2 linked regions of the Caenorhabditis elegans genome follow. The protein of the gene in region 1 interacts with the protein of each later gene in a biochemical or structural test. Each region holds a gene or a part of one and is shown on either strand. Other genes may lie near its edges.

Region 1 (4,967 bases):
GATGACTGTACGGAATGACTCATATCATTTATGTGTGCTCTTCGCTCCAAGACCCCCCAACAAGTAAGCCACGGTGGGGTTGCGCAAGGGCATCAAGAAGAGGAGCGGCTGAGAAAAAATGACGACAATCATCAGATCGAACGACAAATAGAAACAGAAACACTCGGAAGAGAAGGGAAGAGAGATAGAAAGGGGAAGATGTCTATATACACATCATTCCTAACCATTTCTTCTTATCTTCTCAATAGTTGGTAAAATGTCCATGATATTTGTTCTCGTCGCGAACAACAACAACACAAGCTGTTTATCAGTAAAGAAAAATACAAAAACCACCCGAAAAAAAGCTGCTTTCAGAACAGATGATTCGTAGTGGCAGCGGAGGATGGCGATAACATGAGATATGAGTGTTATGACATTGCATGTAGAATAGGGGGTGCTTTATTTCACGATGATGGCGAGGAGAGAGAGATAGAGATAGATGAACAACTTTAAGTGCTGCCAATTCACATGTTCTGGAGCTATTCGGAGGCCTTTGGAGTCAAATACAATAAGTTTGAAAGGAACAATAATTCAAGGTTTTCACATCACAATTTTCATTTTTCAACTGAAATTCAAAACTTCCACAATTATGAATAACGCCAAAGTTGTTCACAATTTTTGAATTGAAATTCAAAACCGAACAAAAACATTCCAAGGTGACTCACCATATTTTTTTAGTCACACGAAAACTTTGAGTTCTGTTCAATTTTCTTTTCGGCTGGGACTAAACACAGCTTTACATGTTACATGACCATAAAAACTGGATCAAATTAGTAAATGGAAAATTTATAAAGTCTGATACGGCTGAAAAAAAAACTCCTGCCTTTGAACCGTGCTCATCGTAATATCAAAAGTGTAGGCGGCGGGTTTAAAACTGGCGCCCAACTTCCTAACAAAACACTAATTTCTGCAATTGACTCACACTTTCTACTCGTACTCCTATTACACAACGTCCAACTATACATTCCATTTGATTAATTTCAAGTTGGTTGTTGCTGCTGATAATGATTATATCGTCCTCAACGTCAAATAAATCTAAATCAACAAAACTGAGAGAGAGAGAGAGAGAGAGATAACAAATCTTAAGCCTTCGAATAAATTCTTATCAGATTTATTTAGATCAACTGCCTGCCTACAGCGGAAAACTTAATTTACTGCGAAACGAATGCTACAACCTGCGCGAACAGGAAGCATGATGATCGACGACGATGATGATGAGGGGGAAGAGATTCGTACAAAATCCGCCATGAAGTGAACATGGTGAGAGACCAATGCATGTTATATAAACAAAAATCTACCAAGCGCGTCGAAATCAATCCGTTTATTGCAAATTGCAAAATCCAATCGGGACGAGGCGACGGCCTCCGGAATTTCCATGCCGCACAGCGTACGCCGATTAAAGTCAAATTCGACCAGAATCCATTTTGGAAATTAATCCCTCTTTGGCTAGGATTCGCTAGTTATGGTTGGTGGTCCAAGAGGAGAAAATTGCCTTCAATTTGTAGAGATTTTCAAGAAAATGAAGCGATCATTGGATATTCAATCAAGATAAATGTTTTACTGCTTAGTAAATATAAATTGGGATGATAACCACTAAGTCTTAATGTTTAAAGTGAGAAGATCAGGAGTAACTAAATAAAAATCCAAGAGCACCACAGTTCAACTCCACAAAATAGTAAAACTTTTTGACAGTCACTTATGAGAGAGAATGAAGAAATATCTATTATTTACAGTGTTGTGTGCCAACAACACACTGTAACACTGTCTGCGTCTCTTCCAAACTTTCTTTTTCTCCAAAGCGGAAAAGGAAGGGGATTATTTGGTGAAAATGAACAGAGAAATGGTATTCAACACATCCTCATCGGTGCGGCCTTGTTCTCAGCCGAATTAACCTCTCCGAGAAAACGAAAGGGGGCTGCTGCTTCTTCGGGAATGGAATAATATTGGAAGAGAATAAGACGAAGATAAAATTGCGTGCTTCTTGTTGATTTTCCTTTCATTATTCCCGACTGACTGTATTCATGGGAAAATTTGGGATACGCTTTTTTGCCTCCAAAATGACCTTTTTTCTGCAAATTTTTGGAGAAAAAAAATTACCATTCCCCTCGCTTTTTTGTACCGAAGAAGTGCTGCGTCTGCTAGTTGACCAACTGTCTGATCCTGAACAAGAAAAATATTAAAAAATTGATTGAACATTTGAAAAAAAAGCTCACCGATTCCTTCCATGGTACCACAATTTTCATTCGTCCAAATTGAACAGTGACTCGGCGAGTTCCATTCAGTGGAAGCGATTGATATTGGCTCTGAAAAATTAAAATATTGCTTATAATTATAAATTACAACCAAGGTTTCAAATATTCAATGGATTTCACATTTTTTAAAGTAAAAAATAATTCCAGATTTCGGTGTTATAATCGAAAAAGCCAGAAATTTCAAATTTGAAAAGGATCTTAAACTTTCCAACTCAAAAATAGAATGTGTACAAAATTCGGATTTTGACTTAAAAATTTGAATTTACAAAATCATTTTAAAATGCGCATTTTTGCAGTATGAAAATTTGCAGAAATGGAATTCTCAGCAGTTCAAGCATTTTTTTGAAACAAAAATCGGGTAGAACTGTTGACAGTTTGAATTGAAGATTTCTGAAGCGTGAATGAAAGATAATTCAAGATTTTTTCTCCAATTTTTAAGAAAAAAAAACTTCCGCACTCTATCAAGTGTAGATATTGAGGAATTCGCGTAACCACTCGCAATTCCGTACTGTTGCATTCGTTTTTTCAGTGTCGATTCACCCTCGTCGCTGCTTTTACAGCTTCCCGATGGTTCGCCACCTTCCGGACACGATGTGCTAGATGATGACGTGGATGAAGCCGACATGATGATCGATCTGAAAATGAGCAGATATAAAGAAAAATTAAATGAAATGAAAAGAAGTTTTAACAAACCAATCAACGTTTCTCCTCCCGAGAGGCTCTCTCGTTTCGCACCTATTTGCTCTGCGAGACCTTTTCTATCTGCAAGAAAATATATATTAGAGTGATAAGAAAATGATTGGTGTGTCTGTGAAGTAAGTAACAGTAAGAGAGAAAGAGCAAATGATTTAGTGTGCTCAGCGATGGAAAAAAGTTTGAATTTAGCGGGAAAACATTAAAATCTTAAAAATTTGTCCGAATTGCCCGCGCCAATTTTAAAAGGATACAAAAATTAGCTTTTTAGTGATTTTATTCTTGAGTTTTCAAATCTGTAATACAAAAAATTCAGCGTTTTAAGTTTTGTTTTTGCGCAGACAAATTCAGCTCGAAAAACAATATTCTGAAAAAAATCGGCCCGATTTCCGATTTCAATCGGATTTTTTCGTGTTTTCAAGATCTGAATAGCTTAATTGATCTTCTGGACGAGAATTAGTTGACGGAATGAGAAAAAACTCAAAATATCGCACATAAATCAATAGACAATCTAAAAATTTGAAGTTTTTGCAGATTTTAATTTTCAAAAAAAATTTCCCGCCATGCGATAGGTCTCGCCGCGAATGCGTACCGTACCCATCTGTTCCGAAAAATGATTACTGTATTTCTCAATTTCACAAGTCTACAAATTTTTTTAAATTTTATTTAAGAAAAAGCGGCCTTAAAACTGAATTCGCAGTCATCGCATTGCTCATCGCATAGCTAAATAATAAATGAATTTTTGATATCAAAACAAACAATGAAACCTTTGCTGGGAAAATGGGAGGACATTTCTGGAAGACAGAACGGGAGGAAGGTGGTTATCCAATTACATTTTTGGATTCTCTCTACTCTATTTTCTCTCTCAGTGCTCACCAAGGATTTCCAAATGTGCCTATTTTATTTCCACTTGGGCAATTTGTCAAGTGGAGAAGTCACACAGAGGATCCTCTAGAGAAGATGATGATCCATTATAATGAGCATGTTGGAGGAGACGAGTTTTTGGAAGAACACCGAGTTGTGCTGGGATGGATTTGTAAAAAAACAGGAAAGACTTGAAAATAAATTGCTCTACTTTTTGGGGAAAATTCAATTTTTCTTGGATTCGGAAAACCTTATTGTCGGTTTGTGATTTAAAATCAGACGCGGAATTTTGCGTTTTTCCAAAAATACGATACGAAAATGTTTTGTTAAATACATATATGTGGGGAACGCTATGAAAATTCAATGAAAATTCTTGAGCAACGAAAGTTTGAAATTACAGTACTCCTTAAAGGCGCAACCCTTTTCGCATTTAACAACAGTTTGTCGTGTCGAGACCGGGTACCGTATTTTCGGCGTAAAATAAACTAAAACCGACTATAGGTCACATATTGTGTACCATTACACTTTCTGATTGGCATTTTCCTAATGTAAAATGTCAAAAAAGAGAAGGTTGAGTCAGTGCGCACCAGCTGTATTGCACAAGAGTTAGAGAGCCATCACCTCATTGCATATGCCAACTTGACGCCACGACACACATATTTCATGAGATGGATTGGAGAAGCAAAATGACAAATTATAGTCGTGTCAATAAGTTATATGAAGTGGGTGCTGTCCCGACTATTAGTTGAGCTGGCAAACGACGAAATGAACAGAGATTGGCGCAGCGGTGCGCGATTGGATATTAGAAAAACAGTGAGTTACCAGCGGAGCTCGCGCGGCTTGTCAAATGCTCGGAGAGCCTGAATGGAAAAGCTCAAACTGAACAATCAACTTTTTGCACTTTTCTACGATTGCTTTTCCGAAAGTTTAAAAATCTACAAGAAAGATATTTTTAATTGCCTTTTATCGAAAAAAAAAGAGCAGGCGAGGTATTGCCATCGACGTTCATACCTCAACTTAATGTCAATGAGACTCATAGGTCCGATTGACCGAGACACTATTTGTGTAGAGGTATGCATGAATAACACCGTCTCTCCTCTCTTCGCCGACTGACCTTGC
Region 2 (5,071 bases), on another chromosome or scaffold:
GTGATTCATAGACTTTGAACCATTTCAATCGATAAGCTATTGGAGCTCCTGTAAGCTGGAATCTAATTGACTAACAACCAAAAACTGGCACAACCCTATTCATTGCTTTTGTAATGATGCTCTTTGGTGTACATTTTCATGTTTCCTCCACCCTCTTAGTTCTCAACCTATTTAATAGTGCCACGTCAATCCGAGAGTTTGTGATGAGTTTCTCGGTTAGTACGATTATAAAGAAGAAAAGTGAGACGCGAACTTCTTTTTTTCAACTCCATCTTCGTCGTCTCGGTGCACCTGGTGTGTTGTCCTATTCTATTCGGTTCTACCTCCTCCACCCCCAATCTATTCAATTTTTATTATTGACTTATCGGAAAGAGAGTCAGTAATAGGAGAGGTGGACACGCAGACGTTGTGAGAAAACGACAAGCGCCTCGACTGAGAGAATTGAAGAACTGACTCATTTTTGTACTGAACTGACTGACAGTGCAGACTGGTTGACACACCTGCTCAGAAGCTGCTGGATCACCTTACACATTCACGTGCGACACTATTTTATTCAATTATTGTTCGCGATTCAAGATTCAAGAACTGTTAAGATGACGAAGAAATCGTACGCATTTGCACTGGATCTCGATGATTTGTGCTGTGACGATCATCCATATTCATATTCACCACCTTCCACATCTTCACGGCATTCTGCATATTATCCATCTCAACAGCCTCGGACCTTTTTTCCGGAATATGAATTGACCAGGTTTCTATCTTGTTTCAAAATATTTTTTCCGGCTGCTTCTCTTCTTGAATATGACTCATCGCCCCCTCAATTTTTCGTTGGTCGTGCTGCAAGAAATTTTCCATGATTCATCATAGCAGCTTGTAGTATAGAAGAAGACCATCGTTGTTCTTGTTGAACATCAGATTTTACATTTTATGTCCGGCGCCTGAGTTCGCCTTACTTTTTTTGTGTTCTACGAGGTACGGGCAATATGATGAACGTAGCCACTAAATGGGGCAAAGTGGCCGAATATAATTAGTACGTTTCTAGATTCGGTTGACCTTTGATTTTATATCCAAAAAAGGCAGTTTAACGGTTTTCTTTTTGAAAAACAATTTTTTCTAACTGAGGGGCTGGAACTTCCTTTTCTATTGGAACAACGCGTCTCAAATGAAAAAAAAAAGTTTCCGAAGCGCTATTTTTCGAGTTTTTTTTTTTCATTAAATCGGCTGTAAAAGTCGTCATTTCTTCCCCTCTGTGCTGACGTCTTCACTCAAAATGAAGAATTGCAAGCACAACGAGATGACGTTGGATGGCCCCGCAAGCAGTCAGCATCGAATGAAAATTTAAACACAGAAATTCAACGAGCCCCGTCCATCAAAGCCACAAAAAAACGGGGGTCCGCGAAGGGAAATTAGAAAAAACGAAGAGGCATGGCGGGGGGGGGGGGGACACGATTTTATGTAGCACTTGGAGCAGCACTTTGTGGGGGCATTTATCGGTCGGCGGGGAGGGTTTTTTGGAGAAATTCCGATGTGATGGGAGCAATAGAAAGAGAAGGGGACACATATTCCCTCTTAGTTTTTTTCTCCTTTTGCTCACACTTTTTTCAAGAGGAATACAGACAGATAGAGAGAGACATGGATGCAATTTGTGTCTCTTCTCCAAAGTGTGGATGGATGGATGGATGGATGTGTATGGAGAAAGGCCGCCCATCTTCTTCTTCTTGCTCGCTTGCTCCTCTTCTACTGCCGGCGCTCTCCTCGTTTTTTCCAGTGTGTCCGTCCTCCACGCTTTGCTCCATTTCGGGGAGCCCCAGGGCTCTTACGCGTCCGTTTGACCTAATTCGATATGTTCAATGCGGCATACTCGTCGTTACTCGCTAGATTTATGTGCCAGCCAAGTAGTTCATCTGTGACGCCTATTCCGGAAGAGGAGGAATCTCTGATCCCGAAGCGAAAAGTGTCTGAAGTGGTCACTACAGCTCCGATGGCTCCCACACTAACTTCATCTGGGAAACGGCGAACGGTGAAAGTGTCACCTGATGGAGATCATGTCACACATAACCGAAAAAAGTTAATTTTAGTTCACATTTAAAATTAAAATAAAGCCCCAGTCCACCAGTTTTCAATAAAAATTTTTCCAGCTCTTCATCACATGCACGATCTACTGGACAATCGGGTATGTCAAGTCGATCGGCAGCACGACGCAACGATCAGGATGTACACGTTGGAAAGTATAAGCTATTGAAGACTATTGGAAAGGGAAATTTTGCAAAGGTGAGCACTTGATGATTGGAAATTTCGAAAAAAAATAGTTATCAAAAAATTAGAGCTTGAAACATACTGTAGCCGGTCTCGACACGACCGAGCGCCTTTAAGGATTACTGTAGTTACAAACTCCCGGTTTTTGGCAAATTTTCTGTTTTCCAAATTTTTTAAAAATTTTATTTATTAAAACCAGTCGATGACCGCGCCTCCGGCGCGGCCAACGACTGGCGGAGTTTAAAATGTATAATACATAGATGTCCTTTTAATCATTCAAAAATGTATCATTAAAAAAGTTGAAACTTCATCGATTAAATCGCATTTTCTTCTTCCATGGTATTCGATTCAGAAAATTCAAAGAGACAGTTAGAATGTTCTGATTTTTCTACACTCAAAATTATAAAACTGCGTTGCGTGTACGCCAAAATAGTCCCCGCCTTTTTCTCGTTCACTCACGGGGAAAAGGCAAAAAGCGGTACCCCAGGTAATATCAGCCGCCGACATCATTCGAGGTCCGCGCACCACACTATTTTTCTCACTGTTGGCGTGGCGAGCTGTCCCCCTCCCCCGAAAAAATTCCACAGAGTTACAGTTTTTCAATAAGTTAATAACTTTCCTTAACTGGAGAAGTCTGAATAATTAACTACTAATAGTAAGTTCTTTGAATATAGATGTGACGAAACAAATAAAAACTCCTACAGTTATAGGAGGTTGTAGAGCATTTCAGAACTTTTTTGAATTTTCCAGATGATTCTAGAACATTCTAGAATTTTCTTGAAACTTCCAGAAGGTGCTGAAACAAAAAATTGATTCCAGAACCAAAATTTGAATTTCCCGCCAAATGTTTTCCTCAGAAAATTTGAATTTCCCGTCAAAATCTTTTTCTCAGAAAATTTGAATTTCCCGCCAAAATTTTTCTTGGAAATTTGAATTCCCGCCAAAATTTCTTTTCTCATAAATTTTGAAGCTCCCGCCCATATTTTTAAAGGTCCCACCACGATGGGTCTCGCCAGTTCCAGGTGGTACTTAAGCTAACAAAAAGTTTCTCAGAAAATTTGAATTTCCCGCCAAAAATTTTTTCACTGAAAATTTGAATTTCCCGCTAAAATTTTTTTCACTGAAAATTTGAATTTCCCGCCAAAAATTTTTTCACTGAAAATTTGAATTTCCCGCCAAAAATTTTTTCACTGAAAATTTGAATTTCCCGCCAAAAATTTTTTCACTGAAAATTTGAATTTCCCGCCAAAAATTTTTTTCACTGAAAATTTGAATTTCCCGCCAAAATTTTTTTTACTGAAAATTTGAATTTCCTGCCAAAATTTTTTTCACTGATTGAATTTCCCGCCAAAATTTTTTTTACTGAAAATTTGAATTTCCTGCTAAAATTTTTTTCACTGAAAATTTGAATTTCCCGCCAAAATTTTTTCACTGAAAATTTGAATTTCCCGCCAAAATTTTTTTCACTGAAAATTTGAATTTCCCGCCAAAATTTTTTTCACTGATTGAATTTCCCGCCAAAATTTTTTTAACTGAAAATTTGAATTTCCTGCTAAAATTTTTTTCACTGAAAATTTGAATTTCCCGCCAAAATTTTTTTTACTGAAAATTTGAATTTCCCGCCAAAATTTTTTTCACTTAAAATTTGAATTTCCCGCCAAAATTTTTTTCACTTAAAATTTGAATTTCACGCCAACATTTTGGGTCTCACCACGAAGGGTCTCACCACGATGGGTCTCACCACGAAGGGTCTCACCACGAAGGGTCTCACCACGTAGGGTCTCAACACGATGGGTCTCACCACGAAGGGTGCCACGCCCACTATTCTCACTGAAATTTGGGCGTGACGTCACAGACTCCAAAGACTACATAGACTACAAACTCCGGACAGACGAACTGTATTTTTTTATATATAGTTAATGATATTTCCTTTTTGAGAAGTAATTTAACTTTTTTATATATTTTTTTTGAGAAACGAGAGAAAATTTCAGAAAAAAAAATCTCGGTTTCATTTTTTTACGCTTAAAATTTATTTTTCGAAAACCCAAAATCATATAAAAGTCATGAAAGAAATATAAACTTCGAAAAAATGATAGACATATTGTGAAAATTTGCAAAACATTGCACAAAAAACAGGGAATCACAACTACAGTACCCTTTAAAGGAGTACACTCTTTTGTTCAGAACATTTTAAGTCGTGTCCGGACCTTGGAGACCGTGCACCGTAACTTTTTATTAAAAATCTTTTTTTTTCCCAGTCGGAAATACGAAACAGCCTGACAAAAATAAATCTTAGATATATGACCATTTAATTAATTATTTTTGCAGGTAAAACTCGCAAAGCACGTGATAACCGGACATGAAGTCGCTATAAAAATTATCGACAAGACTGCTCTGAACCCATCGAGTCTTCAAAAATTGTTCCGAGAAGTGAAAATTATGAAACAATTGGATCATCCGAATATTGTGAAATTATATCAAGTGATGGAAACTGAACAGACACTGTATTTAGTACTCGAATATGCATCCGGTGGTGAAGTATTTGATTATTTGGTTGCACACGGAAGAATGAAAGAGAAAGAAGCAAGAGCCAAATTTCGACAAATTGTCTCTGCTGTTCAATATTTGCATTCGAAAAATATAATTCATCGAGATTTGAAAGCTGAAAATTTGCTTCTCGATCAAGATATGAATATTAAAATTGCTGATTTTGGATTTTCGAATACCTTCTCACTTGGAAACAAACTCGACACATTTTGTGGATCTCCACCGTACGCTGCTCCAGAATTATTTTCCGGTAAAAAGTACGATGGTC

The links.
Region 2: of the proteins of par-3 (region 1) and par-1, one has a biochemical effect on the other in vitro, tested with the Caenorhabditis elegans proteins (one study listed by BioGRID).

The regions. Positions count from the first base shown.
Region 1 is NC_003281.10:5,662,321-5,667,287, reverse strand, and holds the start of par-3 (PDZ domain-containing protein), read right to left. Parts: upstream 3,056-4,967; 5' UTR 2,985-3,055; intron 2,927-2,984; 5' UTR 2,917-2,926; coding exon 2,749-2,916; intron 2,343-2,748; coding exon 2,253-2,342; intron 2,200-2,252; coding exon 2,137-2,199; intron 1-2,136. UniProt on the Caenorhabditis elegans protein: In cooperation with pkc-3, required for establishing cell polarity and regulating spindle orientation in the early embryo. Localization is crucial for recruiting par-6 and pkc-3 to the peripheral apical cortex and restricting par-2 to basolateral surfaces.
Region 2 is NC_003283.11:14,123,311-14,128,381, reverse strand, and holds the start of par-1 (Serine/threonine-protein kinase par-1), read left to right. Parts: upstream 1-1,843; coding exon 1,844-2,067; exon of another isoform or gene 2,068-2,126; intron 2,127-2,138; coding exon 2,139-2,271; intron 2,272-4,584; coding exon 4,585-5,071. UniProt on the Caenorhabditis elegans protein: Required for cytoplasmic partitioning and asymmetric cell division in early embryogenesis. Phosphorylates and restricts the asymmetry effector mex-5 (and possibly also mex-6) to the anterior cytoplasm of the zygote.